Linked DNA regions of Callithrix jacchus. The protein of the gene in region 5 interacts with the protein of the main gene of each other region in a biochemical or structural test. Links are inferred from orthologs where the notes say so. Each region holds a gene or a part of one and is shown on either strand. Other genes may lie near its edges.

Region 1 (6,986 bases), on a different chromosome or scaffold from region 5:
CACCCTAGAAAAATTAGAGAGAAACAGAAAATAATTGGAATACTATGATACAAAATTGGGGCAAGAAATCTAAGATCCTGAATGTAAAGCAGAGATTTTATTTTCCATCATTATTACAAAATATATTGTTGATGAGGGCAGTTTTTCACTAAATGTATAGAAATTTCGAATGTAGTTATACTCTCCATGAAAAGGGGGGCTCTCTTGGTTCAAATCCAGCTTAAGTAGGAGCACAACACATCTATCATCAGATAGTTAATACTCGATAGATCTTCACCAGGCCTTTTCTCTTACCTCTGGCAAATAACCACTTTGTCCTTCTTGCAGTGAGAAGAATTATGTTCACAGGAATCAGATTTCTGCAGCAGGAAACCTAGCCGATGTTTCATATCTTTTGCACTGCACAGAAGAGGAAAAAAAGAATCAATTATGATAACCAACTTTCATTAAGAGATACCTAATGGTAGAGCTTCAAGAGTCCATTACTAGTCTATGGCTCAGAGGCATTTATTTAGGGAATAGGAGTTGGAGGTGGCATGAACTCTGAGGAAAACAAGATTCCGCTTTTGGTTGCCTATGACTTGCTACAAAACCTTGAGGCACAGTCATAACACTAGTTCCTTCATCCACAACTTGAATTCTGACCCTTCAGTTTACCTCAGAAATCTCAGAAGCCTTTGTATGCCGGTCATTTTGACCAACAGAATACCTTTGGTATCTTCAATAGAACCACACTGAAAACATGAGTGATCTCTGAGTAATTTTTAGGAATCAGAAGGCAGCAGCTGCGAAAGATGCACATCCTTGCTGCACGCCACCTTCTGGCAGGTGATTGCCATTTCCATCTGTCTCCCTGCTGGCAGAGAGGGAACTGTAGAAGCACCTCAGGAAAGTAAAAGTCTATTCCGTTCCAGCCCTGTACATGGTGGGCCAAGCAGTCCCTGCTGTGGGGTATGCAGGGAGAATACACTGAGGTGCGCAGCTCCAGCAGAGGGAAATGGAACATGGACGGTGAAAGCAAATGCCCAAGCTGAAACCTGAGCTCCTTGGGGCTTCTTTGTAGACAGTACCTGCTGCTGCTGCTGCTTTCCTATTTAATAGCTACGTTAAAGGACATATACACTATAAAGGGCATTTGGGGCTTAAAAACTATAGGGAGAAGGAGGCTAGAGACATCACTGAGCTTCTAGTTTATTGCGGCCGTTTTAATAGGTAGCCAGGGCACAACAGGGCTCCGGACTAACTAGAAAAACGGGGTCCTTTAATAAGCCTTAAACTCAACTCTCTTACTTTTTCTTAACTATCCTCTTGCTTGCATCTCTTTTATTTTAAAAGCCAAGAAATAATTTTAAAAGAGAAATACCATTCTTTAAAAAATGAATAACTAAATGTTCCTATTTGGAGCAAGAAAAATAAAGCCACAGAGATATAAAGACATTTAGGATGACTACTAATACATTAGTGGCTTATGTGTGTAGGTTTTCCCAGAAATTCTGAATTCCATTATGTTCGCTGACTGCCTCTTAAATAGTATTTTCTCTTCCTCCCAAGACTACTTTCCCTCCTCTGCCTCCCTGACTGATGACTGGTCAGGGGATATACTATCCTTTTTGATGATAGTGAGATATAATCCTGAATGTTAGGGTAATTCCGAGGTGATAATATAAGTATATCATGAAGTCCAAATAGAAATGAATTCATATTTCCATGTGCTGGATCCACCTGAGATCTGAGAGCTATTGATCAATGCAGGGGCTAAGTGTGCTTAGCAAGTATTCTTATAATAAAACCATAAAAATAAAAACCAAAATGACTTCAGAAGTTATTGGAGCCAGGAAATCTAGATTTGGCCCTAACTCACCCACCATCTATGTGACCTTGAGTAGGAGATGGCTCCTCTGGAGCCTCAGGCACTGGTGGTAAAGATGTTGCACTAGACCATTTGGAGTTTACTGGTGAGGAAAGGGAAGAGCAGCTCATCTGGCTAACACAGGGTTTACCTCCTTAGATTAGCTGCTTAACTCTTCAAGGGCAGAGCTCTAGTACTACCTTTCTTTATCTGCCTTGCAAAATATTTACCAGAGCATAACTTCTCCTGACCCTCTTGTATTTTTGAATGGTTCATTTTATATGTAAGTTAACTGAAGCTTGAAGTGATTTGCCCCCCTCCATTCAGAAAATTAATCATGAAGGTCAGAGGCACTTATTTCATACTCTCTGCCAGACCCTCCTGCTTCATTTTAAAGAAGCCATTGACACTTCCACACTCATGAATGACACAATATTTGAAAAGTAAATGTTTGAATAGTACATAAAACATTATGTTTTCTGAAATTATTTCCAAAATAAAAGTTGTGGTAATTTCTATTTGCAGGGTGATAAGAAAGCAGGTATATACCTCTAGAATGACTTTTTACCTTTATCTGCAAGATTAAGTAATGGAATATGCACTCATTTTGTGTTTCATTTTCAAGTGGCTAATATACGATCATTCTCTGAATGCATTTGTTTATGCTTTTAAAAGCATAAACAAATGCATAACTGTATGCCTGTAAGGTGTTTTAAAAACATTAAGAGAGCATACTAACAAAACAATGTCTTTAAGGTGAGATCTTCTACAAAACTGTTAACTGATTTGTAATGATCAGTACTTCTCAACCACACTCATCTAAGATACTTTAAGAACTAGAGATAGAGCAGAGAGATACGGAAGATCTCATTGTAACATTTGATTATAAGAACATAGAGAGTGAAAGATACTGAGCACCACACAGAAAGCATAATGCCTTTCCGATAATGCAGCCAAACCTCATTATGGGGTACTTTCCCTCAAACAAGATGTAGCGTACAATCAGAAAGCCCAGAGCCAGGCTTCTATATACTCCGGGGATGCTCAAATAACAGTAGGAATCACAGATGGAGATATTACAGACCACTATCCATAGCCTCAAACCTTATCTCACTTCTTAATTAAAACTAGCTTGCTTAGACCTGGCTTAAAGAACAGAACGGTTACCAAAATTGAGGTCATAAAACAACACGTAAGGACTGAAATTTGGGGAGCACATGTCTTAAGTCACAGTATCTAGCTTGTCTTGGAGGAAGAAAGTTAGGAAGTCATTGCTCTCCTGACCACATTGTTTCTAACTGCACAGAACTAGGTTAGTAAGTACAACATGTAAATGACTGAGAAAGTCTATCCAAAAGTTCAGCATGGTTAATGGCTGAAAGCAATCTTACCTCCTCAAGCAAGAAGCCGGCAGACCTGCAAGCCCTTTGCACATCTTATTTAACAGCTTGGGATTTGCAAGCAGAAAAGAAATGCGGCAGGAGGAGCTGTGGCTTCGGCTTTGAGCGTACTTTGCCTCTTCTCCGGCAAAGATACTGTCAGAATTCTCTGAGCGTCTTTCTCCCAAGCCTGTAGGGGTCTCTTTTATAGCCCAGCTACGACCATCCAGCCAATCAGACGACAGCTCTGCAGTACCAGCTCCTCTGTCTCCCTCTGCCTCTCCAGCCCCTGAAAGAGACGAGGAAGAAAAGATTGACGCATCAGCAATGCTAAGCGAACGAGCAGAGAAAATCCTTCTGCAAAGTAGGCAGACAGAAAAAAATGTACTCAACGTCTCTATGAATGTCAAAGGTTTAGAATTTCTAGAAAAGGAAAAAAAGCGTACAATGCTGCAAAATATAGTATTTATTCATATATCTATTAAAAAAAAAAACAATATCAAGGAAAGTTACCTCCTGAAGGAAAAGTACCAGCAAAAATTCTGGAGCTTACTTAGGAGTTGACTCCCAATGTCCTTCCTCTTTTGGATTAGAAGCATCATATTATACATGGTCCAAGGTCTGATCTTCACGGTTTCCAAAAGGGAGTTGGTAGGATCATCGTCTCCATGCAGCGATTTGCAGAAGTTGCCTTGGTTGTTATGCAAACAGGAAGGTGGAGAGCAATAGCTGGATGACAGACAGTTATAAGCCCGGCAGCAAAGAGAAACTAGCCTAGGAAAAATAGATTCGCGCTATCTGTAATCAACCCGACTGCGGAATACTTTTCTAGAAATCTTGGTAACAACAGAATTCAGCCTAGCACTGACAGTTTCTCCTTTACATGCCTGCATCCTATAAAAGTCTAAAACAGCAGCTCGAGGACCAAAGGAGGGAGTAGATGAGCAAATACACACACCAATTCTTATTGGCAAATGGGTTTATGTCTTATGTAACTCTAAGTCTCCAAACTGCTATCTCAAAAGATAAAGAGGGATGTACAGAGAGAGAGAGAGAGCAGGCAGAAAAATATGTAGTTTGCCTTATATATCACCGGCCTTCAAACTAATCATATCAAGTCCTATGGGTGCTTCTGAACACCTGGACAATTAGTATCTTTTACGTACAATATCATGGACTGAAACGACTGCGTGGACAAAAACATTCAGGCATTTCACATCTTATGGCCAGATATCAAATACCTACACCAGAGTTACAGAGGGATCTTTTTCATGGAGGAAAGCTATACGTGGAAGGGGGGAATGAATTGCTAAGTCTGACCAGAACAGCTTTCATTTTGAAAGCAGATAGGTTCCTAATCATAGGCTACCATGAGCTGTTCTTTATTTATAAGAAACAGAGGCATCAAATGGTTTAGGTGGAAGAGGTGAAAATAGTTGGGTTCCAGTGAAATGCAAAATACCAAAAATATGGAAAGAATGGCACAAAGCAATGCCCATACGTGGCCCTACCTAGTACATGCCCTTGAACATCCTACGCTGCCCCCAGTACCACCTCCTTCCATGACTAGCAGAGCAAGAAGACAGCAGACAAATATAAAATGGTGGAGGGACCATAATCCACAGAAGATGCATTTAAATTATAGGAAAAAGTCTCTAGCTGCCCATAAAGATAGAAAGACGTTTTATCAGATTAGCTACTGGGCAACTTTTCCTTGAATTATAACAGAACAAATGAAAGTTGACAGCCATCCCTGATGGTGGTATGGAAGGAACTGCAGTACAATGTGAAATCAGGGAGGTCATCAGACCAAGGAAGACGAACCAGGGAGAAGAACCAGTCAGAACTGACATCAAAGAGGACAGATTAATTAAAAGGGAAAGAAGGTCACTCAAAGAAGAACCATGACCTTCTTTGTTTACCTACGCACCTAAGAGAGTGATCACTCAAATAGATTGATTTTGGGAACATAAGCGAGGACCCAAGAAGATTTACTGATGTCTGAAATTCTACAATGAGAACTTTATGTCTTGGACTTAGAATAAGAGAAGCCTGATTTGTCACGAGTTAAATATAAATCACTGCAATAGATGGGACTTTAAAGGCAATCTAGCCTAACATCCTCATTTCACCAAAAAGGAAATAGAGACCCAGAAAGAGAAAGTGACTTGCTGAGGTTACAGCTTCTTACTAACGGAGCTGGGTCCAGATCTAGGTGTCTCTATACTCAGTTATGTGAGTTGTCCGCTGTGCTATCCTGTAACTCAACAGTCTGATCAAATGAGATAAACTGTATAAATAGAGATATTTCCAAACTATAAAAAATAATTTTTCCTCATTCTATTATACACAGTAGAGAATAGAATCCAATGTTAATCTTACATCTTTTATTCAAGGACTGCTCACTTGCCCAATCTGTTCTTGCTCCGTGAAAGCGGGAGTTGCAGCATACCTCACTGTGCTAGTTCCCTATTAGAACCAGGTCTTCTAACCTGCTTAACTCATTACTCTGTTCAGGCATTTCATATTTACTCACTTCTTTGGCTATTAAACCTTGCTTTCTTAGGAGTTTAAAACTTTAAAAAAAGTGTTTGTAAAACGCTTCACATGAGTTAACTTATTCTTTCACTGTGGGACTTGCAGATTGTGTTTGAGGAGGCGAGGGCTGGTACATCATGATACCTTGACAACCTTCCACCTTCTTTCTCTGATATGCACAAAGCAACGAATTCTGTTATTCTATGATTTGTCAATCCTGGGTGACTCTGGTAGTATAGAAGGGCTTTACTCTCAAAAGATCTACTTGTTATTTATTCATTTGTTTAAGAATGAATAAATAAAATTCATTGGTTTACGAAATATCTTTTGACACCTACTCTGTATCAGGTACTGTTTGAAGAACTGTATTTAGCATGGTGAACAAGCAGGCAAAATCTCCGCCCTAGTAGAGTTTTCATCCCAGTAGGAGGAGTCAGAAAATGAACAAATCAGATGATTCCAGATTTTGACCTGTACCATGAATAAAATGGGCAGGTGATGTGCTAGAGGGCGATCAGATGGTGAAGGACTAATTTAGCCAAGGTGGTCAGGAAAGGCCTCTTTAAAGAGGGGGCATCTAAAATAAGATTCGATGAGTGAGAAGCAGAAAGCAATGCAAGAAGCCCAGGAATGAGTATTCCAAACAGAAGTAAGAGCGAGTGCGAGTGCACTTTACCTAAATTGAGAAAGAACACAGCCATAAAAAGAAATGAAATCGTGCCTTTTGCAGCAACCTAGATGGAACTAGGGCCATTATCTCCAGTGAAACAAGTCAGACACAGAAGGACAAATACTGCATGTCGTCACATATAAGTAGGACCTAAATAATGTGTACACATGGATGTAGAGTGTGGAATGATAGACAATGGAGGCTCAGAAGGATGAGAGGGCAAGAAATCAGTGGATAGTGAGAAATTACTTAAGGGGTACAATGTACCTCATTCAGGTGATGGATACCCTAAAAGCCCTGACTTCACCACTATACAGTCTATGCATGTAAAAAGAATATTTCACTTACAACCTATAAATATACACAACATTTTAAAATTTTAAAAAAATTGCGGAAGAAGAGGAGGGAGCCAGCATAGCTAGGGAATTGAGAACATGATGGAAGTAGCATAAAAAGAGATGGAAACGTAGACGACAGATCCTGCAAAGATTTGTAGGCTGTTGTCAAGAGGCTGGACTTTATCAAAGTGCAGTGGAAATCTACGAAAGAA
Region 2 (4,978 bases), on a different chromosome or scaffold from region 5:
AAGGCCAAGGAGATGCCAGTTTCGGGCTGGAACCTCAGGGATCCCCTTCTGGCTCTTGCTGCCTGGCAGGAGGGCTGTGTGGTGTCAGGGGAGACTGTAAGAGATCCTTCACCATGAGGCCATGAGTGGGGCTGACACACTGTGTGACCTCCCCAGGGAATGTGTTTCTACTCAGGGAGGTGATTTTTTTTTTTTTTTTCTGAGACGGAGTTTCGCTCTTATTACCCAGGCTGGAGTGCAATGGTGCGATCTCAACTCACCACAACCTCCACCTCCTGGGTTCAGGCAATTCTCCTGCCTCAGCCTCCCGAGTAGCTGGGATTACAGGCACGCACCACCATGCCCAGCTAATTTTTTTTGTGTGTTTAGTAGAGACGGGGTTTCACCATGTTGACCAGGATGGTCTCGATCTCTTGACCTCGTGATCCACCCGTCTCGGCCTCCCAAAGTGCTGGGATTACAGGCACGCGCCACCATGCCCAGCTAATGTTTTTTGTGTGTTTAGTAGAGACGGGGTTTCACCATGTTGACCAGAATGGTCTCGATCTCTTGACCTCGTGATCCACCCGTCTCGGCCTCCCAAAGTGCTGGGATTACAGGCACGCACCACCATGCCCAGCTAATGTTTTTTGTGTTTTTAGTAGAGACAGGGTTTCACCATGTTGACCGGGATGGTCTCGATCTCTTGACCCCGTGATCCACCCGCCTCGGCGGAGGTGCTTTTAAGAAGACAGAGGTGGTCATCTTTTGCCCCCAGCACTACCAAAGTCACTTAGGAGACCCCAGGGGGTCAGGCATGGAGTATGGGAGCTGCACAGTCAGTGCCACATATTCTTGGAGTGCAAGACAGTAGAGCCTCAGCAGGCAGCAGTGGGATGAGTGGGGCTCCTCACAGGAACCCTTCTTTCTTTGGTCAGGAAGATGCTGCCCTTTACCAGCACCTGGGGGTCCTTCTCCGGCACTGTGTGATGATTACTACTGCTGGAGACCGCACAGAGGAGTTCCACGGGTGAGGACATGGCTTTTTCTATGGCCACATTGTCTAGCTAGTGGTCCTCAACCCTGTGGACCAGAACCGCCTGAGAGCCCAGGCCCCACCCTGGGGGGGGTCTGACTTTGTCTGAGTGAATGGTACTGGACATCAGTGTTTCCGGAGAATACTGAGTGCTTCCAATAGGTGGCCAGGACAGGAGCCATGAATCTGGGGACAGGAATGTGCCAACTGGACCTTGGGTAGTGGCAACAGATACATGCTGTTTACTGGGCATTTTGGTCCCTTGTCCCCCTTCTTGGGCCACCTGCCCCTAGGCTGATCTGGGTTTCCAGAGATGGTGGCACTTTAGCCCAGACAGGGTGGGGCAGTTAGGGTGTCTGAGTGCCCCCACCTCCCCAGGGGACCCCACTGTACAGCTGAGTGGCAGTGCCTCTACGATCGGTCTCTGCCTTTGTTTTTGGTCCCTAGTGTTGCTCCTTTAGGTCCTCAGACGCCAGCTCGTGTAATGTGTGGTTCAGTGGGGGCACAAAGATTGCACCTGTGCCAAGGGATTAGCTCTATTGAGACCCCCGTCTCCTGTCCCCAGCCATGCAGTGAACCTCTTGGGGAACTTGCCCCTCAAGTGTCTGGATGTTCTCCTCACCCTGGAGCCACACGAAGACTCCGTGGAGTTCATGGGAGTGAATATGGATGTGATTCGTGCCCTCCTCATCTTCCTAGAGAAGCGTTTGCACCAGGTAGGCTGGGGATGGCTGTGCAGGCTCCCCCAGTGTCTCTGGCGCTGGCTGTCCTGCACAGCTGTGGTCAGTGCTTCCACACTGGTAAGTGGAGATCATCTTGGTGATGTGATATGGGCAGTTCTTTTGGCTGTTCTGAGGTTCAGCCTGGCAAGAAGCCAGACCCTTCCTCCATGAGAAGCATGTGGACACCCTCCACACACTTAAAGGTTTCACTTCTGCTTAAATATTTGTGGATTTTTATTGAGTGGTCCTGAGAAGCTCCCCCAGTCCCTGCTTTTAACTCTTAGACACAGGCAGCCCTTGATTATAAGCATGGCTGTCCCTCAGCACCCTGAAGAGACCCACAGGAACCTCTGATCAAAGGTTCCCTCTGATTCCTGTGACTGCACTGTGGGGCATCTGGACAGCTGGGCTCTAACCATTCTCCAGGCTCTTGCAGAAAGCAGGTTCAGTAGACGTCTTGGGAATCTACCTGCCTAAGCAGAGGACACACATGGTGCATGTGAGCCAGTCAGGATAGGGACCTGGCATTGGGCACACAGCTGGGGTCAGCTGTCCCCGTCGCTGCCACTGCTGATACTAGGGTCCAGGCACATTATGCTAGGAGGGACAGGAACTCCCTGCTTTCTGTCCATGAAGTACACCGAGCAGGGATTCAGTTCTCGTTTCTTTTTGCCACCGTCATCTGAGGTCAATGTGTGTGCCAAAGCTTGAATTGCTTTGTGTTTTCTTCCCATCCCTGGCTTATAATTGAAGCAGTTATTTGAGCCAAGTCACAAAACTTCTGAGTTGGGCTCTATCCCCGCCCCTTTCAAAACTGACACAGATACCTAGCACCCACTCTTGGCCCTCCACTGACTAACTGCAGAGGGGTCTCTTCCCAAACCCCTGCCGCTAGGACCAGCTGGTGTGTCTTGGGGGCGGGGGCAGGGGGTTTTGGGGATGTAACTCTGCGCCAGTCTCAAATTAGGTAGGGCCATAAGCCTGATGACAGAGGCTTCTCTACAGACACACAGGCTGAAAGAGAGCGTAGCTCCTGTGCTAAACGTGCTGACTGAGTGTGCCCGGATGCACCGCCCAGCCAGGAAGTTCCTGAAGGCCCAGGTATGAGGCTCAGAAGCTGGCGCTCCTGGGAGATGTGGGTTGGGCCCTGATCACAGACTCTTGGCTGCTCCAAGCCGAAGCTGAGGGACGGCCGCCTCCCCAGGTGCTGCCCCCTCTGCGGGATGTGAGGACACGGCCCGAGGTTGGGGAGATGCTTCGGAACAAGCTTGTCCGCCTCATGACGCACCTGGACACAGACGTGAAGAGGGTGGCTGCCGAGTTCTTGTTTGTCCTGTGCTCTGAGAGTGGTGAGTTATGGAGGCCCAGGTCCCACCCCACCTAAGCCAGGCTTGCACTGACCTCTGCCTTGCTCCTCAGTGCCCCGATTTATCAAGTACACGGGCTATGGGAATGCTGCTGGCCTTCTGGCTGCCAGGGGCCTCATGGCGGGAGGCCGGCCCGAGGGCCAGTACTCAGAAGATGAGGACACAGACACAGATGAGTACAAGGAAGCAAAGGCCAGGTATGTGCCCCAACACACCCTTGGGGTTCCCACTCAGAGCCACACCCATATGGACCCATGTAGGGTAGGTGGGACAGGATGACACATGGGCAGGACCTTCCAGAATCAGGCTCCTGTTCCTAAGTGCTATCTGGGATACCAGAAGGTGGCAGGTGGCAGGAGCTGGTTAACTGCTGCTCCTGGAGGGAGGCCTCTTCCTGCAGTTGCCTTGCCCTGCCCCCTCTCACCCCATGGGAAAATGTGTCTTGCCTCCTGTCCTGGAGAGTCACTAATGCATTCCTTACACTCTACCCCATGGGAAGCAGCATAAACCCGGTGACCGGGAGGGTGGAGGAGAAGCCGCCTAACCCTATGGAGGGCATGACGGAGGAACAGAAGGAGCATGAGGCCATGAAGCTGGTGACCATGTTTGACAGGCTCTCCAGGTGTGTAGCATGAGGAGGAGGTGGGGGGAGCCTGCAGCTGGGAGAAGGGAGAGCTGACCCACATCCTGTCTTGTGATCCCCAGGAGGTAGGGTCAGAGGAGAGCTTAGGATCCTGGCAAGGCCGCATTACTTACGTTTGACATCACTTGCCCTGGAGGAAATCCCCCAGGGGATGGGCATATTGAGGTCAGTATTGTGCCCATTTTACAGATGATAACTGAGGCCCAGAGAACTTAAGAGACTGTCTAATGTCCCTGGACTTATTGGAGATGGTCCAATGTCCAAATTCAGAGACTGTTTAAGGCCAATTTAGATGTCTCAATTAAGAATCTACTTAAAGCCATGAGGTAGCAGTTAGGATTTGGGCCCAATTAACAGAAAGTCCAATCAGGCTTCCCCAGTAAATGGGAGCAGCCTACCTACTTGGTGGAGAGGAAGGTAGCAGCCAGGGGTCAGCAGGACCCTTGCCTGGCCAGCGGGGCCCCTTCCCCAGCCCCACTGCACCTTTCCCCACAGGAACAGAGTCATCCAGCCAATGGGGATGAGTCCTCGGGGTCACCTTACGTCCCTGCAGGACGCCATGTGCGAGACTATGGAGGAGCAGCTCTCCTCGGACCCTGACTCAGACCCTGACTGAGGATGGCAGCTCTTCTGCTCCCGTCAGAACCGGTGCTGCTTCCAGAGACTCCCTGGGGCTGTAACCTGGGAGAAGCCACATCCCCTGGGCCCACACCCCTCTCTCCATCTTGGAAACCCTTTCTCTTTACTCCCCAGGTTCTGTTCACGATTTGCCCCTGGTTCAGTTTATCTCAGGACTGCAGTGGTCTTGTGCAAGAACGCACAGCTCAGCCTTGAATTCTGCAGGCAAAGTACTTTTCTTTTGTCTGCGCCAAGAGGAATGTGTGTAGAGGCTGCTGCCTGAGGGCAGGGCCTACCTGGGCATACAGAAGAGCGTGCATATGGGAGGGCAGGGGGATGGGCGTGGGTGTGCACAGAGCAAGCACATCTGAGATTGGCATGCGGGCCAGAGCCGCTGTGTTGAGGGATGTGCTGCACTTCACAGGGAGAAAGAACCTGGCAGAACTTTACGTACAAGTGTGTCAGAACGCACACTCCAAGGTGTGCTCTGTGGTTTCTGTCCTGTCTTCACTGGGTGCAGGGCTGGAGGCCTCCCAGGTGTTCTCCTTGGTCCTTGTTGAGCTGCCCACTGTAGTATCCACAGTGCCCAAGTTCTCGCTGGTTCTGGCAATTA
Region 3 (5,099 bases), on a different chromosome or scaffold from region 5:
CAGCTTATAAGAATGTATACACTAACAAACAGATTAAAAACTACTCCACATTTTATATCTGGGGAGAATAGTTGACTTTCAATACTCAGCCTAAGCTATTTTTACCAGATACCATGTTTATTTTTATTTTTTATTTTCTATTTTTTCTTTTTCTTTGATATTTAAAGAAGTTTTATAGATTTATTTAAATCTCAACTTTTATTTTAGATGCAGAAGGTACATGTATGTACAGGCTTGTTACATGAGTATATTGCATGATGCTGAGGTGTGTGCTAAGGTTTGGGATACAAATGATCCTGTCACACAAATAATGAACATATTACCCAGCAGTTAGTTTTTCAAGCCTTGTCCCTGACTCCCTCTCCCCACTCTGTTAGTCCCTAGTGTCCATCGTTGTCGTACTTAGGTCCATGAATACCCAATGTTTAGCTCCCACTTATAAATAAGAATGTGTGGTATTTGGTTTTCTGTTCCTACATTAATTTGCTTAGGATAATGGCCTCCAGCATCCATGTTGCTGCAAAGGACATGATTTCATTCTTTTTTATGGCTGCCTAGTATTCCATGTTATATACATACCATATTTTCTTTATCCAGTCTACCACTGATGGGCACTTAGGTTGATTTCATGTCTTTGCTATTGTGAATAATATACAAGTGCATGTCACACACCTTTTGATGAAAAAAAAACATAAGTCATTTGAACTAGATCCATAATCCATTATCTGAGATTCTTGGGGCCCATTGTTCTTCAGAATTCTTACATTTTCTGATTTTAGAAAGGCAATGCGATGCATATGCCATGAGCACAATACTCCAGGGAGACCTGAGTCATCCTCAAAGTCAAGCAAATGAATATGTCTGCAGTTTAGTGCACAAATAGTCATATGATGGGGATATATGAAATTATACATATTTCATGTATCATTATCATCCAAACATCAGTTCGCGTCAATGAGTTTACACAGAGTTGCAAGAAAAAAGAAAACTTCTGGATTTCAAAACTTTGGGATAGATAAGGTTTTACTTAATATAAATTAAATAATTTAGTATTGTCAAAATTTATCTGGCACAGAAGCAAGAGTGAAAGGAGTTGAACTAAAGAGGAAGCTGCTGACACTGTCCGGAAAGAGGTTAAGACTCAGAAAGACAGATGCCCTGGGGACCGGCTTCACCCTGGCGTTCCAGAAACAGACCGAGCCCCAGAATTTGCCCTGAAAGATGCAGGATGCACAGCCAGGATCAAGACAAAAAGTAGAACTGGGGTCTGAGGGTAGAACCCAGACAGGGAGCTATCAGAGTGGCCAAAGCAGATCAACCACCTTGGCATCCCCCAAGAGCTGCTGAGAAATGCAGGAGCTCGGGCCCCAAACTGGCCTCCTGAGTCAGACGGAATCAAGGTCAAAATTCCAGGTGATTTGTGTGCACCTTAAAGTTTGAAAAGCAGGAGGAAAAAAAATCCAGATTTTAAGGCCGTATCTCAAAAGTTGCCTCAAAGCTAATAAGGGTGTGTGGGGGCAAGCATTTAGCCTTGCATGGGGTTTCAAGGATTATGCTCCCTGGGTACCAATTGATAAGCAGAGAGAATTTATTTAAAATTCAAGGTTTTTGCTTGGGCTCAGCACAGTGCAGCTCCCTAGCAGACAACTCTCCCTGCTGCCCACCTTCTCTCCCCATCTACCAGAGAATGGCAGGCTTTGTACTATTTTATAAATGAGACATCCATGTAAGTCTCCATTTAAAGAAAGAGTTCCAAGGACTTTAAACCGTCTGAAAATTCTCCAGGGCATAAAATAGACACATTAAAAGACAGTTTAAAGGGTAGCTAAAATAGTTTACAAGGCAAATAAAAATTAGAATGAAAAATGAATCAAAATAAAGAGGTGGTGAAAGAAGTCAAAATAAGACTGAAGCTGCACATCCCAAAGCCCACGCCACACTTGTCTGTCTCCTCTGCTTCTTAGTTAGCTTCCCCTAGCCAGGTTCATGGCTGACCTTGACACGCTCACCCATCAATGGTTCTCAACCCCTAAATGTAAAAATTTCAGATCATTTAATATTAGTTCTGACACCTTTTTCTCTTTTACTTTTTATCTTTTCTTTTCTTTTTTTTTTTTTTTTTTTTTAGACAGAGTCTCACTCTGTCACCCAGACTGAGGTGCAGTGGTGCGATCTCGGCTCACTGCAACCCCTGCCTCCTGGATTCAAGGGATTCTCCTGCCTCAGCCTCCTGAGCAGCTGGAATTGCAAATGCCTGCCACCATGCCCAGCTAATTTTTCCATTAAGTAGAGACGGGGTTTCACCATGTTGGCCAGGCTGGTCTCGAACTCCTGACCTCAAGCAATCCACCTGCCTCTCCCTTCCAAAGTGCTGGGATTACAGGTGTGAGCCACCATGCCCTGCCTCTGACACCGTTTTTCAAAAGACCCACGTGTGTGTGTGTGTGTGTGTGTGTGCATGTGCACGCGCACGTGGGCATTTGTAGATACATTCATCTTATTCCAAGTCTTTAGCCTTATTGTGCCACACATAACTTGAACTTGACTTTCAGCTACAGACAAATGATGTGTCCAGCTAAACTTTGTTACATCTCCTCTATAGATGACCAGTGAATGATATTTTAACTTCATGTATTCATCGCCCCCTTTGTACATCTCTTTCGGAGAGTTTCTATGGGGGTGGGTATAGAAACATAAACAACTTCAAGTCATCTCCTTACTTGATGTCTCCCAGCTGCAGGTGGAGCTGGAGCAAGAATACCAAGACAAATTCAAAAGACTGCCACTTGAGATTTTGGAATTCGTGCAGGAAGCCATGAAAGGGAAGATCAATGAAGACAGCAATCACGGTTCTGCCCCTCCCTCCCTGTCCTCAGACCCTGGAAAAGTGAACCACAAGACTCCCTCCAGTGAGGAGCTGGGAGGAGACATCCCAGGAAAAGAATTTGATACTCCTCTGTGAATGCTCCTGCCAGGCCTTCAGAAATTTGCATGGCCACTCCAGTGTCATCAGACTCTCTCTTATTACAAAAATCACTGCCCAGGACCATCTTCCCAAGAAGCATCCCTTAGCCTAAAATCCACACCAAAGGGAGAGTTCCAGAGGAATCCATTGCAGAAGTCCCATGCCCAGGCTCCATGTGTCACTTGGAAACCTCTGCAGGTCTACTAGTGAAGAATGCATGTATGTGAGATTTTTGTTTTCTTTCCGGTAGTAAATTCAAAGCAAGCAACTTGCAGGCTCCATGGAACTATTAATGAAGGACGGTGTCTTCTTTGAAGAAAATCGAGCTCATGTTTTTATTCAAAGCTCTGGTGTAAAGTATTTCAAAGTCATAGAAATAGTTTGAGAAATGCATAGCATTATTTAACACTATTGAACAGCTGGCTTTGAGCATTTTTTAAACTGCCCCTCAACTACCATTATCTTCAAGTCAACATGCATATTACATTATTTCATCTTTTGCTTTGCAAGCACTGGTGGCTTGCATTTTGCTAATTTATTTATCATAGAGCCATCAATGTATTTGTTGCTGACATGGTTTTATTAGATACTGTAATGATTCAAATAAGTTTGTTTTTTATTTGGAAAAAAAAATCACTTGATTGTATCCTTATCCAGTGAAGCCATCCCAAGACTTAGCAATATGGATTGTACATTTGGCTGCATGAGCAAGTGGGCCACACATTTCCAGCCAGTGTGCTGTCTGAATTGACTATTTGCACTCAAAGTCTGGGTATTCATTGGTTGTTAGCCTGAAATGATCAAATAACTACAAATGTTCTGTTGAATAAAAATAGTTGAGCTGATATATGTTAACCAGATATTCAATCAGAGTGAACAGGTTCCAGTGGTTATTTTGCTGTTCGACATTTCTTATGGTTCATTTATTTTTAACATAGAGAGGAAGATTGAATATTTATCTAGAGACTACAAAGACCCACATGTAAATGATAGGTATTATCTCCATGTATATATGTACCCACTTAGTCTTGTAAGTACATATACACATACACACACATGAGTGTAGATATGTGCTTATTAATTGACAATGACCCAGATCTCTTCCACAAGACTTAAAACCAAATTCAGGGATAAATGGATAGAGAAGAAAAGGGCCAAACATCTAGATTACATGGATGTTAAGTTATATGGAGATGCTAAGAAATAGTTGATGAAGCCATTGATGCAAACTGATATAGATTTAGAACTTAGAATATGAATTCAATTTATATTTTGCAAGATCAAAAATTAGGTGTTAAGTATCAGATTTTAAGCTTGTTTTAATGGTCAAAAAATTAGTACAGAAATATGGACATTGATTAGAATCTTCCATAATTTTTAAGACTGACACATTTCTATTTTATTCTAACATTAAAAACTTTCATTATATATTTACTTAAGTACATTTAACTCACTTACCTGTCTCTCTGTAAGTTCCTATTTTAGGTGGCATAAGAGAAACAAGTTATGTCAAAAGGCAAAACTGATCAAAAGCATAATTGAAAGTTCTGAGAAAAGAAAGAATAATAATATATAGAAAAATGCAACTTAGAGAGTAACACAATGAACATGGAATTCGAAGCCCAGAAGCCAGAGGCTCACAGCTTTATTTTGCTTTAAAGTAAACCTGTCTGATTGTAGCTTAATGAAATACCTTAAAATGCAAAAACCAGTTGTGTCCTGAAAACTGTTTCAAGAATTTAATATTTTTATGAAAATTATTTTGTTTAACTTTAAGCAATAACTAGAGATCACAATTAAATTTTAATCAAAATGAAGGCTTAGTTCAAACATAAGAAAACAGTGTTTAATTTAAAAAAAAATCTAGTAAGATATAAGTGGAAAATCGCATCCTTTTTGGAAATGATGATATTTTGATCTGAAGGGTTTGGGGTGTTAATTAGACACTTAATAAAACTTAACTTCCACTGAAAAAGAAGTCTTTTGTAAATCGTTCTACTTTTGCACTTTGAAAGAAAGTCATTAATCATAAAGAAGCAAGAATGGTCAAAATCGAATGCTGCATTTTTATAAACAAAATTACAGACTGTCTGAACTTGCAGAAGAATGAACTAACAATAGCATTCATAACCAA
Region 4 (6,239 bases), on a different chromosome or scaffold from region 5:
CTGCTGGCCTGCTCGCACGTGAGTGTCCTGGACTGGCCCTGCGTGCTGGACCAGAGTCACCTGTGTGTTGGGAGGGGAAGAGAGCACCCTGCGAAGAATTCATGGCCACTTCTGTCTTCCTCAGCCCTTCTCAAAGAGTGCCACTGAGCATGTCCAGGGCCACCTGGGAAAGAAGCAGGTGCCTCCGGATCTCTTCCAGGTATGTGCCTCCCAGTCCCCACCCAGGCGAGGTCACCTTGGACAGCCCGGGTCAAAGAGCCTAGTTAGCTGGGGGTGGGGCCTGGGCAGCCATGGTCTCTAGGGGCTCAGTCACAAACTTCCAGTTTCCTCCCTTAGCCATACATCGAAGAGATTTGTCAGAACCTCCGAGGGGACGTGTTCCAGAAATTCATCGAGAGGTGAGCGCGGGGTGGTGTGGAAAAGGAAGGGCGAGGAAGGGGTTGCTTATGTGGCTGGTGTGGAGGGTAGAAGCCAGCCTTCATTAGGCCCTGAGCTGGCAGGTGTCTGGTCCGTCAGTGGCCCCCTTGCTAGGACTCCTGAGAGGTCAGACAGGCTGCAGGTCATCCTCTTTCACTCTGCCCTCCTCAGTACCAGGCAGCTCACAGCCCGTCTCAGGCTGTTCTCTGGGAGCTAGGAGAGCCACACCACCTGTGGCTCTTCCTCTCCCGAGGGCTATATAGCACTTTGCTGGCCCACCTGGGCTGAGAAGCATCAGGGTCAGTAGGGGTGGGTGCAGGAGAGCACATGGCCCCCATGGCCCTCACAGCCAGAGTTGACACAGTGGGTGAGAATTGTAGGCAGATTTTGGCTAGCTTTAGGGAGTGGCTTTTTTAGTGTCACTGCTGCCCAGCCATGGAGTGAGCTCTGTGTCACTAGAGGTATGCTAGCAGGGATGGGAGCAGGAAGTCTGGGTTAGACTGGAAGACCTCCTCTCTATGCTGATCTGATTCCAGCAGGAAACCATAGCCAGGTGGCCGAGGCCCGTGCCGGGCACCCAAGCAGCACTGGCTGGCACTGTGGGTGGGCAGGCCCCCAACATTTCATTCCTGGAAGAGGACATTAAAGCTCCTGATGTTTCCACATCTACCCTGATGGGACCCCGGGGAATGGCCGATAGGTGGGGCAGGCTCACGACAGCATCGTCCTTCCCACACCCTGAGTGGCCCCTGAGTCCAGGTTCTTCTCTTCCAGCGATAAGTTCACACGGTTTTGCCAGTGGAAGAATGTGGAGCTCAACATCCACGTGAGTGGGGCTGGGTGGGGCGTGGAAAGCTGCGCACCCTGCTACTCCCCTCCCGGGAGCCGGGCCTGGGACTTGGCTGAGAGTGGGGAGATCAGGGGGTGTCAGCCCCTAGTGCCATGGCTATGGGGGTCAGGGCTGGGATGCCGGCATGGGGAGGCTGGAGCAGGTAAGTGTGTGGCAAGGACAGCCAGGACACAGGTATAGGGACCTGGCATGGGGCCAGCCCCTGCTGCCCAGGTGCCTCTGCCCCACGGCTGGGCCCAGGCAGCCTGTGGTGATCGCAGCTGTCGCTGCCCTGCAGCTGACCATGAATGACTTCAGCGTGCATCGCATCATTGGGCGTGGGGGCTTCGGCGAGGTCTATGGGTGCCGGAAGGCCGACACAGGCAAGATGTAAGCACCCTGCTTGGCGTAGGGGGATGCTGGGAGAGCAGGGATCCTGGGAGGCCCTGACGACTGGGTTCCGCACAGGGCCACGTGCTGCCCCACCCACCCCTGTCTTGCCTTGCTATTACCCTCCTGCAGGCTTCTCTGGCCCCAGCCCTCCCTATCTCTGATTTGTGTCACAGGCTGGTCCTGGGTCTAGTCTTCCCCTCAAGCACCCCCAGAGGCAGTCCTGGGCCCCTGTGTCAAGGGTGGGTGTTGACTGCCGCCCTCTGTCTGCCTCGTAGGTATGCCATGAAGTGCCTGGACAAAAAGCGCATCAAGATGAAGCAGGGGGAGACCCTGGCCCTGAACGAGCGTATCATGCTCTCACTCGTCAGCACTGGGGTGAGCTGGGCAGGCTGGGCCGCTGCTGAGGCTCTGGAACCCCCATTGCCCCTGCTGACCTCTCCCCTCCCCTCCCCTCCTAGGACTGCCCATTCATCGTCTGCATGTCGTATGCATTCCACACGCCAGACAAGCTCAGCTTCATCCTGGACCTCATGAACGGTGAGTGCTGGCCGAGCCCCAGGGTGGGCTGGACCTAAGCGCAGGAGGCTGGGGCAAGATGCTGAGTGCCGCCTATGGGGCTGCCTCCCTCAGGTGGGGACCTGCACTACCACCTGTCCCAGCACGGGGTCTTCTCCGAGGCTGACATGCGCTTCTATGCGGCTGAGATCATCCTGGGCCTGGAACACATGCACAGCCGCTTCGTGGTCTACCGAGACCTGAAGGTACATGCCCCTGCTGGCCCCAGGCCGCGCCTCTGTGGCTGTTCTCTCCCTCTCGGCATCCTGGCCACCAGGCCTAGAGGAGTGGGGCTCCTGGGACACGACTGCCCTGTGTCTTCCCATCTCCGCCCCTGTCCTTCCCACTCTCTGGGTCCAGGTTATGACTGGGGACAGGAGAGAGGACCCCATCTTTGCCGTTTCCTTGGGGACCCATTGTCGTCTCCAGTGAAGCAGTGACCCAGCTGGCATCTTGCCTGGCTGGGCCCCATCCCGAGCCGTCCCGGGCAGCTCACTGGGCTTCCTTCACAGCCGGCCAACATCCTTCTGGACGAGCATGGCCACGTGCGGATCTCAGACCTGGGCCTGGCCTGCGACTTCTCTAAGAAGAAGCCCCATGCCAGCGTGTGAGTGCCCTGCCACCCTCCCCCTCCTCACCCCTCAATACTCCTGCTCACGGCCCCCTTGCTCCCACAGGGGCACCCACGGGTACATGGCTCCGGAGGTCCTGCAGAAGGGCGTGGCCTACGACAGCAGCGCTGACTGGTTCTCTCTGGGCTGCATGCTCTTCAAGTTGCTGCGGGGGTGAGTGGCCTGTCCCAGCTGGGCAGTTGGGTCGGGTGGAGAGAAGTTCCTCCCCAGTCCAGGTGGGAAGCCAGAGGAAGGGAGCCCATAGCTAGCTGCCTTGGTATTAGGGGTGGCACCATCCCTGACTGCCCACAGCTCATTCACGCTGCCTGCCTCCATTTCCCCATTCCTTTCCTTTGACTTTGGTTTTTGGCCCCTCTTGCCCAGACATAGCCCCTTCCGGCAGCACAAGACCAAAGACAAGCATGAGATCGACCGCATGACGCTGACAATGGTAGGTGCGGGTGTCAGCGTGGGCCTTGGGGGGCGGGGGTCTCCTGTGGGTGATGCTGGCAACAGTGGGTACAGATCTCAGCTCGGGGCCACAGTGTGGCGGGAGATCCTATGGGGCTGGGGTCTCCTGTGGGTGATGTTGACAGTGGTGGGTGCAGGTCTCAGTTCGGGGCCCCGGAGGGCTGGGGGCTCCTGTGGGTGACACAGTGGTGGATGTGAGTCTCAGTGCCATGGGGGGGATGGGAGCTCCTAACACTAATCATGGTGGATGTGGGTCTCAGCGTGGGGCTGCTGGGGGGGCCAGGGGCTCCTGTGGGTGACGTTGACAGTGGTGGGTGCAGGTCTCGGTGCAGGCCACAGTGGGGCTGGGGGCTCTCGTGAGTGTCAGAGTTGTGACTGTTGGTTCCGACCAGCAGGTAGAGATCTCGGCCACTGCCCCTACTCTGGCCTCTGAGACAGACCTCCTGCCCCATAGGCTCTTGCCCTCGCTATGCTGTTGGAGCATGACTGCCGGGCAAGCTAGGAAGCTGCGCCCTGTCTCTCTGTGGGCCTGGGCCCCTCTCTCCCCTGAGCTGGGATGGGGTCAAGTGCTCTTCCTCAGCCCCTGCCTATGTCCCACTCCTCTCCAAAGGCCGTGGAGCTGCCCGACTCCTTCTCCCCTGAACTCCGCTCCCTGCTGGAGGGGTTGCTGCAGAGGGATGTCAACCGGAGACTGGGCTGCCTGGGCCGAGGGTGAGTGCCCTGGCACCTTAGGCATGCTGCTGGCTGTGACCCCCTGAGGATAAGGGCTATGTCCAGTCACCTGGAGCCCCGTCCAAGGTCCCAGCCTCCTTGGAGGAGCTCACAAGTTGGGGCATGGCCAGCTCTGTCCAATGTTCTCAGGGTGCAGGGGCTGCCCTGGAGGTTGCAGCTGCTGGTAACTGGCTTCCAGAGGGACTCTTGTCACAGACGACGATGATGGCAGCTTTTTGTGTTTATTGTGAACATTTATTAAGCATTAGGCACAGGGTTGTAAAATGTACCAGTGCTTAAACTCAGAAGCCTGTGACGTAGGAACTGCTGTTCTCCCATTTGAGAGATGAGGAAGCAGCTCAGGCTTAAGGAACTTACCCAACTTCACACAGCCAGAAAGTGGCTCAACCAGGAGTGAAGCCCAGGGCTGGGGGGAGGTGCTGAGCCCGGATGACCGGCCCCTCCCCACAGGGCTCAGGAGGTGAAGGAGAGCCCCTTCTTCCGCTCCCTGGACTGGCAGATGGTCTTCTTGCAGAAGGTAACAGTCTGTAGCAGGGGCTTGGGGGCTCCGCACCCCCACCCCTAAACTAATGCCCGTGACCCCTGTTCTGCTGCAGTACCCTCCCCCGCTGATCCCCCCACGAGGGGAGGTGAATGCAGCCGATGCCTTCGACATTGGCTCCTTCGATGAGGAGGACACAAAAGGAATCAAGGTACTGGGCCTTGCCTGGCCTCTTGCACCTGGGCTCTGATCGTGGCCTGGGGGTGGATCCCTGTCCTTCTTGCCACCTGTGATTCCCTGTGCCAGGCCTGCCAGCTCGTGAGCCTCAGCTCCTCCACAGCCAACTTCCCTGGGGGTAGCACTTGCCCTGATCATCCCTACCCAGGGCCTTGGGTCTGGGCAGCCTGTGACTGAGGGTATTCCGGCATCTGTCTATCCACGTGCCTCTGTCCTGTCCACCTGGTAGTTACTGGACAGTGACCAGGAGCTCTACCGCAACTTCCCCCTCACCATCTCGGAGCGGTGGCAGCAAGAGGTGGCAGAGACCGTCTTTGACACCATCAATGCTGAGACAGACCGGCTGGAGGCCCGCAAGAAAGCCAAGAACAAGCAGCTGGGCCACGAGGAAGGTGAGGATCACCCGCTGCTGTGGCACCAGGCCCCCACCTGCTTAGGAGTGAGCAGTTGGCTTGGGTTTAAGGAACTCACCCTGGATCACAGCCAGAAAGTGGCCACTTTGGGATGGAAACCCAGGCCAGAGCCAGGCATGATGGTTCACGCCTATAATCCCAGCACTTCGGGAGGCTGAGGACCGTAGATCACTTGAGGTCAGGAGTTCGAGACCAGCCTGGCCAACATGATGAAACCCTGTGTCTACCAAAAAATTACCCGGGCACGGTGGCACGCGCCTGTACTCCCAGCTACCCGGGAGGCTGAGGCGGGAGGATCGCTTGAACCCGGGAGGTGGAGGTTGCAGTGAGCCAAGATTGCGCCGCTGCCTGGGCGACAGAGTGGAGACCCTGTCTCAAAACAACAAAAAGCAACCTAGGCTGGGCCGGCTGAGCCTCCTCTGTCTCTCACCTCAGACTACGCCCTGGGCAAGGACTGCATCATGCATGGCTACATGTCCAAGATGGGCAATCCCTTCCTGACCCAGTGGCAGCGGCGATACTTCTACCTGTTCCCCAACCGCCTTGAGTGGCGGGGTGAGGGCGAGGCCCCGGTAAGGAGCCCGTGCGGGGTCGGGAGCCGGGCTTCCGGGTGGCTGGTGGGCCGGCCCTTACCCGCACCACCATCCCTGGCCCTGCAGCAGAGCCTGCTGACCATGGAGGAGATCCAGTCGGTGGAGGAGACGCAGATCAAGGAGCGCAAGTGCCTGCTCCTCAAGATCCGCGGTGGGAAGCAGTTCGTGTTGCAGTGCGATGTGAGTGGGGTCTGGGACAGGGGTGGGGTGGCCGAGGGGCCGGGCCAGGCTGGGCAGGCTCGGGAGATCCCCAGCTGACAGCTGGGCTTGGTGTGTGCAGAGCGACCCTGAGCTGGTGCAGTGGAAGAAGGAGCTGCGCGACGCCTACCGCGAGGCCCAGCAGCTGGTACAGCGGGTGCCCAAGATGAAGAACAAGCCGCGCTCGCCCGTGGTGGAGCTGAGCAAGGTGCCGCTGGTCCAGCGTGGCAGTGCCAACGGCCTCTGACCCGCCTGCCTGCCTTTTATAAACCTCTAATTTATTTTGTTGAATTTTTATTATTTGTTTTC
Region 5 (6,929 bases):
AAAAGTTAAAAGACAACAAGAAAATAATACAAAATTCAATATAATATTCTTATAGTGGCAGATTTCAGGGTTCGCATTTTTAAAGTTAAAATAAAAATATATAAGCATATGGAGAAAATTCAGAAGACTGGCATAGTTGCCGGATATAAATCAAAATAGGCCAAATTTTACTGCCATACTTTCATCTACTCAGGTCACTACCTGCCTTTTTGAATGTCTCCGTATTATTAATATACCTAAGTAAATAATTATATGAGCAAATGCAAGGGCACCCACTTTTATCCCTGTCAAAAAATTTTCTTCCATTAAAATGGTGTCACACCTTCAAGTAAAATTTACTTTGGAAACAATTTTAGATTTAATTTCATTTCAATACACAGTCATTCCTCCATAAACTGGTTAAAAATATTAGATCTTTAAACTATGAATGGATGCTTCCTATAACCTCCTCTGGATAGGTTTTGTTTAAATGATGGAAGGAACCAGGTCATTAAGTCTACTCATCAAAGCAGCAAATCAGGAATTCCTCAAATGAAATCCCTCCCTAATATCTTCCCCCTTATCGAAATCAACCACCCTGGATTCAAAACTCCTAAAATCACACTCATACACATACACGCACGCACAAATCCACATTTAGTGTATATTACTATACAAATAGTCTAAGTATTGTAGTATTTATGTTGCAAAAGCAACATACCAGGAACACGAAGCAGCAGCAATTCTTGCATTACATTCAGCTAATAAGAAAAAAAGTTCTCCACACTACCACCACTTTAGCAGTAAAATTGGTTTACATTTTTTTCCTCAGAAAATTATCTCCGTGTTCATTTTTAAAAGCACAGTGTTATTTAAATACACAGTATGTAACTGAACATCCATATAAGTGTATTTCCCTTAGACATTCAAACCTAGGCCCTTGACAACCCCCCTGGGCTTTAACTCTTAACTGCTGGGAAACCCAGAGCTGTCACTTTTCAGGCAAACTGGGTTGGCTGGAGAGACCTCAACTGCCCAGTTCACAGTTAAACAGAATCAAAGACTGTCAACAGGGCAACAGAAGAAAAAAAAAATTCTTAAAATAAGTCTCTCTAAAATCCGTGCTTTTCACCTTAACCATGCACTTAAACACTCTATGTATTTCTCTTTTTCGCTCTTTTCTTCTCAATCTTGAGAACTCAGAAAACATTCAACTGACCGTTTTCAGTCATTAGAAGTATCTCAAAAATGAGAATTAAAAAAAAAAAAATCTTTACTTTCCAGCGTCAGTATTCCTCTTCCCCTAAGCCCACCTCTTTCATACAGTGCTTTGCCTTCTGTTTTTTGTAAACATGTGCACATTTATCTAGAGTTTCAAAATGAAGACATAAAGAAAGCATGTCATGTAAATTAACCATTAGTAACTATTGGTGTGATCAGTGTATTTTGTTCTTGCTTGTAAATGGTCCAGTACATAAGCAGTTCATTTCCAAAGGCAATTGGTTCCTTGAGCCAGCAAATGGAATGCTCAAGATAAGAAAGAAAATGCATGCTTCTCAAACATCAACTGACAGCACAATATTCTTTTCTTACAGAAATGTTTGAGAAACATATTTATTATACAATTATACATGCAAATATCCAGAACTCAAGGGCAGTCATTTTTCAAGTCTGTTACTGCAAAGCTCTTTGCTCTTCCTATCCCAATAGCTCAGGGTTCTGTCGCTCTGGTTTGTATGTGAACCTCGATCACTTGATTCTGAACATCCTCTCAGAGATAATAATCAATAAATTCCAATTTGAGAAATGGCATTTTCTTGCTAACTTCGTGTTAAAGCAGAATGATTTTTTTTTTCAAGACTAGAGGGAAATTTTTCCTGTATGCTTACCGTTTTCCTTCTAGCCTAGATTCCAAAGATATTAAACTGCTATCTGTTTTAAACAAAAGGCTTCTATTTGTTGCCATGGGAGTAATTGAGAGGCTACATTGGTTTTCAGCAGTAACTATTGTGAATTCAGGCCTACATCTGGGTTGCCTCATTAAACAAAAGATACCGGTCGCTGTCAACAACCACACAGTACAACGCTCCCCTATCCCTCATCTTTATCTAGAAGGAATGGTGCAGACGAGAAACACGCCTGTCACCATCCACTGGCCAAGAAACTCTTCTAGGCTCCCTCCTTTCGAAGGTTTGGTGGCTAGAGAACAGCTCTTGTGTGACACATTTGGGCTGGCCCTCCCGCCCCGCCCCGCCCCCAATACACAGGCCCTTTCTTTGGAGGGCCAACCACTTGGTTTCCTCGTCATCACTGCTCTGGGAATCCAGTTGCGAGTCTGCCCGCCGTTCCCCCATTCCCTCCTGACCCCAGAGGACACTGATCTTGGATGCACACCAGCCACCCCGGCGCAGGCCATCCCCCAATGTGTCCCGGGCTCGGCTCGCCACCCGCTGGGCCACACACACGGCTCCCCACGCCACCAACCCACGGGAAGCCGCGGTCACGGCACTAGAAATTCAATCCCTCTGCCCACCTTTCCACCCCTGCGCCTCTGGCCAGAGTGATCTGCCATTTAGCAGATGCACAGCAGATAAGGCACAGCCCTCAGGGATACGAAAAGGAACAAGCCGAGGCACCGGGCAGGGCAGCCCGACCCCTCTGCTGCGTGCGTGTGTGTACGCGCCCGCGCACCCGCGCGGGTGAAGGCAGTGGCCGGGGGCGCGCCCGGGAGGGTAGGGGCAAGTCCCGGGCGCCGGGGGGCGGGGGACGCCGAGGGCAGCTGCCCCGCGGGGCCGGGGGTGGTGGGCGGGGGTTCGCAGAGGCCCGGCGGGAGGACCCGCGGCGGTCGGCCCCGGGCGGTACTCACCGAGCAGCAGCAGCTTGAGCTCCCGGCGGGCGTCCCGTTTGTCCCTGCGGAGCTGCCGCTCGATCTCATCGTTGATCCTCCGGGCTTCCTTGGCCTCCTCACTCAGGCAGCACGCCATGATGGACTCCAGAGTCATTCTTCCAAAGTGCCTCCGCTGCAGCCCCACCGGCACCCCCTGCTCACAGCGCGCACACACACCCTCCCGCCCTCGCTCCCCCGAGGCAGCGGTGGCCGCCGAGTCCCCGCCGCCCGGGCGCGCGTCCGGTACGAGCTCCCGGAACCGCCGCGACTGCCGCGGCCAGGGCCGGGGCCACCAGGTGGGCCGGGGGCGCGGCGGGAGCGAACTGCCTGGGCCGACTGGAGAAGCGAGGCGGGCGCGGGAGGCGGGCGCTGGCTCGGGGGGCGAGTGAGGGAAGGCCGCCGCGCCCGGCCTCGCTCAGACGCCCGCGCCTCCTTCCCCGAGAATGGGCGTCCCGCCTCGCCCCCCGCGCCGCCGCCGCCGCCGCCTGCGAGGCTCCCCTACGCCGTGCGCCTGGCGGCGAGAGCTCATCCACCGGGGTGTCCCCGCAGCGAGCGGCCGCCGACGGCTTCCCGCGCCCGGCGCGCCCGCTCCTCGCCGCCGCCTGACACGGCTCCCGGGCGCCCTCGGCCCTGTCCGCGCCCACCGCCCGGCTCGCGCGCAGACCCGGTTCCCGGCCCGCCCGGCAGCCGCGCGCTCCTCCGCCCCCGCCTCCGCCTCCGCCTTCGCCAGACGCCCGCCCCCTGCCCCGATTGCCAGGCGCGGAGCGGCTGCTCAGTGCGCGCCCTCCCCCTCGCCACACACACACATTTTCTTCTTTCTCTGAACTGGAGCACAGATCCGGGAGGGAAGAGGCGGCGGCGAAAGGAGGAGGGGGAGGAGGCGGAGGGGACAGGCGCGGGAGGAGGGGAGCCGGGAGGCGGTGCCGCCCGGCCCCTCCCGGAACGCTTTCCTGGGCTCGCGGCCGCCGCGGCGCGCCTCCCAGTGCGGCTCTCGCCTCGCCCGCGCGGCTACCCGGTTGGGCCGGCCCCCTCGGGCTCTGCTGGTGCCTCCTGCTTTCGCACCCTGGGCAGAGGCCGCGAGCGCAGCGGTCACGGCTGCCCCCAGCCGGGGCCGGGCCGGGTCGCCGCCGCGCGGCCGGAGGCAGCGGCCGCCGCTGCTTGTCAGAGCCGCCGCTTACCTCCGGCTGCCGGCCGGCCGGGCGTGGTAAGGCGGGAATATGGCGGCCTCTGCCTGCCTCAGCCCACCGGCCCGGGAGCGCGGCCGCGGCCCCTGCTGAAGTCGCGGTAGGCGGCCCCGCGGAGTCCCGCACGCGCTCCCCGCGGCGCCGGCGCTGGCGTCCGTCGCTCCAGGGCCCTGCCCGTCTGCTCCGCGGGGACGCTCCTCAGCCGCTTCTATGTTTCCCGTTCCTATTTCTAAAACGCCATTCGGTTAGAAACTCTCGCACATCACCTCTGACCCCGGTGCAGTCTTATAAAATAAGATCCTCTCTACTGTGGGGAGGCGACTGAGGAAGGGAAGGAACTGGCACCGGTGTCCGGAGGCGTAGCGGGGGGGGGGAAATTCACAGGAGAAGCAGTTCACAAAGTAACGGGAGATAGAAATCTAAATCCTGAGCAGAGAAAGGAAGCTGCCCAAGTTTCCAAAAGCCCCCAGATAGGTTCCAGCTTTCCATGCCTTTGTTTTTTCGGTTGTTGGTTTTTTGTTGTATTGGGGCGTTTTGGGAAGTTGTTTTTGATTTTGTTTTACAAGTCTTCTTGTTTCTGACAGGGCACACCATGTTTAGCTGCCAAGTAATCGAATTTACCCTTCTACACTGAATTATGGATGACTTCCGGGAAAATGTAAAATAATGTGGAATAAATGGAAAGAATGAAATAGAATAGAAACTAAGATGACCTCAGCAAAATGGCATTCTATTTTTTTTATTTTGGTTTGCCATATTTGAGGCAGTTAACTGTCGTATGCATATTTCATTGTGATCGTCTACTGATAAATAGCACACGAAAATAATCTTGCTCAATCAGGTTTTATTTGGTTTAATAGCTACAGGAGGTGAAACTCATGTTACTTCCTGCCTTAAAGGAACCTGAGGTCTTCAAAGAAAATGGGCTTTTATGAAGAAAACCACCTTTTCACGTTTCATGTGTTCTCTGCAGTGTCCCTAGTGCAACCTGCTGATCCGGAGTGTAAAGTACAGTTCATGACTTTGCTTTTGCTACAGATCAAGAATTCACATAGGCTTCTTAGACAACAGGTGTGTTAACGTCCTTCTTTCCTTCATTTGCCATTACTCCACCCTTACACACACACGCACACACAATCTAAGCCAGGATTTAAATCAAGCAAGTCGAGATATAAAATGTATATTTTAGGTTCTCTGTTTAAAACCTAGAAAATAATTAAATTTCACCTTGGCCAGGAGAGCAGAGAGGGCAAACCTTGACCCTTTTATGTGAATGCCTACAAAAAGCCACTAGACTTGCTATGAAATTAAAATTTAAAATTAAGTGACTAAAGAAATTAAAGATTGAAATTCAGTGTGCAAAAATAGAAAGTGGCTTCAGAAGAAAAAATTGCATCCTCCTCATATATGTATGTATGTGAGCTTTGAGAGACATAAAACACTAGAAAACCAAATGACAGGAAGCTTCAAGTCTCTGGTTTCCTACCCAAGGATCCTCTGAGACTTTTGAAATGTCTTTTAAAATGGGCCATCCGGCTATCAGGTAATATGTTTTGACTGAATTGACCTATTATTTGATGAATTCACCTGTTTTCAGTGGGCTTTACAGTCAGAGTCTGTTTTTTGCCCCATTTATCCTGCCAACATCAGGAACACTCCCTGGCACTTAGCTACTTGAATGAATACAAGTCAATAGGAGAATGTTTCGAGTATTGGGGAGAAATCAGGAAGTAAGAAAAACCAAGACTCTACAGTGATAAAGCCATATATGGGTGTCAAGAAGGAAACAGGAAAAGAAATTCCAAGTCTGAGCCCAGATCTATCCAAAAACCTTTTCATATTATCTGGAGAGAATTTGCCAAGCAAATATTCCTAGAGACTAAGTCAAACAAATAGAACCCATGCAGAAACTACTGACAGTTGACCATGTTCTGCAAGCACATAATCAAACATGTAACTACGCAGGGATCATGTTACAAAATCCCAGTTCATTCAGTCAACAAACATTATTCATTACCTACTATGTGGAGGTAACAGGTGAAGGTGCAGGATGAGAGAGATACTAAAATGAATAAAATACAGTCCTTACCCTCAGTAGGCTTATAATCTTATGACATATTGAGGTTCTAAACAGCTATAATAGAAGACTAAAATCAATGTATATAAAAGTTGGGGTGGAAGTAACAATATAAAGGTATAAAAAGGAAGGGAAGAACAGGAAAAGATATGGCAGGAAAAGGGGCATTGAGATGCATGTTAAAGAATGAAAAGGTTTTCAATCACCTTAAAGTAAATCAGCAATTTCAAATCACCCCACACAGACAGTAAGATGATAAACCCTTTTGAGAATTCAAGGACAATTACTAATGAGCTGAAAAGCAAATTGCAGTACCTCAGGAACTCTGAACCTCAGAGAAAAACAGGAAGACTGTCACCTTTTCTATGGTATCCTGAGATGGATAGCTAACCCTACAATCTTACACCCTGTCCTTTGGGGACTGGGAAAGAAAAACAGTAAAAGGCATAAATCAGTCTTAAGGATTGGTTCTACAGTCAAATAATGAAAAGGTGGTGCTCTTCTAAAAGGATCTCATGGGGAAGGAAAGGCCCATAGAGGTCATCCGACACAGGCAACATATAGTACCTCTCTTGTTCACAGTCACTAGCATGGCTGCTTCATATGCACCATACCACTGTCGTTCTTTAGTGTTCTCTTTTTCTCTGCCCTCCTCCCCCTCAGAATTAGGAGATGCCTGAGAGCAGGGACCTTGTTTTTCATAACTTCTCATGGCACCAGAAAGAGGGTCTAGCCTAGAACAGCTACCAAGTAAATAATGAATAAACAAAAGAATGGTACCACCTAACATCATCAACAAACA

Evidence for each region.
Region 1: the proteins of GNAQ (region 5) and RGS4 form a complex in vitro, tested with the Homo sapiens proteins (3 studies listed by BioGRID). The link is inferred for Callithrix jacchus from reciprocal best matches to the Homo sapiens genes GNAQ and RGS4.
Region 2: the proteins of GNAQ (region 5) and RIC8A form a complex in vitro, tested with the Homo sapiens proteins (2 studies listed by BioGRID). The link is inferred for Callithrix jacchus from reciprocal best matches to the Homo sapiens genes GNAQ and RIC8A.
Region 3: the proteins of GNAQ (region 5) and PLCB1 form a complex in vitro, tested with the Homo sapiens proteins (2 studies listed by BioGRID, with this or other methods). The link is inferred for Callithrix jacchus from reciprocal best matches to the Homo sapiens genes GNAQ and PLCB1.
Region 4: the proteins of GNAQ (region 5) and GRK2 form a complex in vitro, tested with the Homo sapiens proteins (3 studies listed by BioGRID). The link is inferred for Callithrix jacchus from reciprocal best matches to the Homo sapiens genes GNAQ and GRK2.

What each region holds. Positions count from the first base shown.
Region 1 is NC_133519.1:38,566,869-38,573,854, forward strand, and holds the start of RGS4 (regulator of G-protein signaling 4), read right to left. Parts: upstream 4,135-6,986; 5' UTR 3,840-4,134; coding exon 3,782-3,839; intron 3,518-3,781; coding exon 3,241-3,517; intron 400-3,240; coding exon 295-399; intron 5-294; coding exon 1-4. UniProt on the Homo sapiens protein: Inhibits signal transduction by increasing the GTPase activity of G protein alpha subunits thereby driving them into their inactive GDP-bound form. Activity on G(z)-alpha is inhibited by phosphorylation of the G-protein.
Region 2 is NC_133511.1:131,719,545-131,724,522, reverse strand, and holds part of RIC8A (chaperone Ric-8A), read left to right. Parts: intron 1-917; coding exon 918-1,009; intron 1,010-1,580; coding exon 1,581-1,731; intron 1,732-2,742; coding exon 2,743-2,838; intron 2,839-2,941; coding exon 2,942-3,086; intron 3,087-3,156; coding exon 3,157-3,301; intron 3,302-3,606; coding exon 3,607-3,726; intron 3,727-3,809; exon of another isoform or gene 3,810-3,912; intron 3,913-4,242; coding exon of another isoform or gene 4,243-4,363; exon of another isoform or gene 4,364-4,500; coding exon 4,501-4,648; 3' UTR 4,649-4,978.
Region 3 is NC_133506.1:16,074,326-16,079,424, forward strand, and holds part of PLCB1 (1-phosphatidylinositol 4,5-bisphosphate phosphodiesterase beta-1), read left to right. Parts: intron 1-2,734; coding exon 2,735-2,962; 3' UTR 2,963-5,099.
Region 4 is NC_133511.1:124,365,038-124,371,276, forward strand, and holds part of GRK2 (beta-adrenergic receptor kinase 1), read left to right. Parts: coding exon 1-18; intron 19-124; coding exon 125-199; intron 200-336; coding exon 337-398; intron 399-1,191; coding exon 1,192-1,243; intron 1,244-1,544; coding exon 1,545-1,636; intron 1,637-1,914; coding exon 1,915-2,014; intron 2,015-2,097; coding exon 2,098-2,176; intron 2,177-2,269; coding exon 2,270-2,400; intron 2,401-2,706; coding exon 2,707-2,801; intron 2,802-2,871; coding exon 2,872-2,979; intron 2,980-3,189; coding exon 3,190-3,256; intron 3,257-3,886; coding exon 3,887-3,987; intron 3,988-4,458; coding exon 4,459-4,525; intron 4,526-4,604; coding exon 4,605-4,700; intron 4,701-4,955; coding exon 4,956-5,118; intron 5,119-5,574; coding exon 5,575-5,711; intron 5,712-5,798; coding exon 5,799-5,912; intron 5,913-6,012; coding exon 6,013-6,177; 3' UTR 6,178-6,239. UniProt on the Homo sapiens protein: Specifically phosphorylates the agonist-occupied form of the beta-adrenergic and closely related receptors, probably inducing a desensitization of them. Key regulator of LPAR1 signaling.
Region 5 is NC_133502.1:104,907,472-104,914,400, reverse strand, and holds the start of GNAQ (guanine nucleotide-binding protein G(q) subunit alpha), read right to left. Parts: upstream 3,694-6,929; 5' UTR 2,982-3,693; coding exon 2,846-2,981; intron 1-2,845.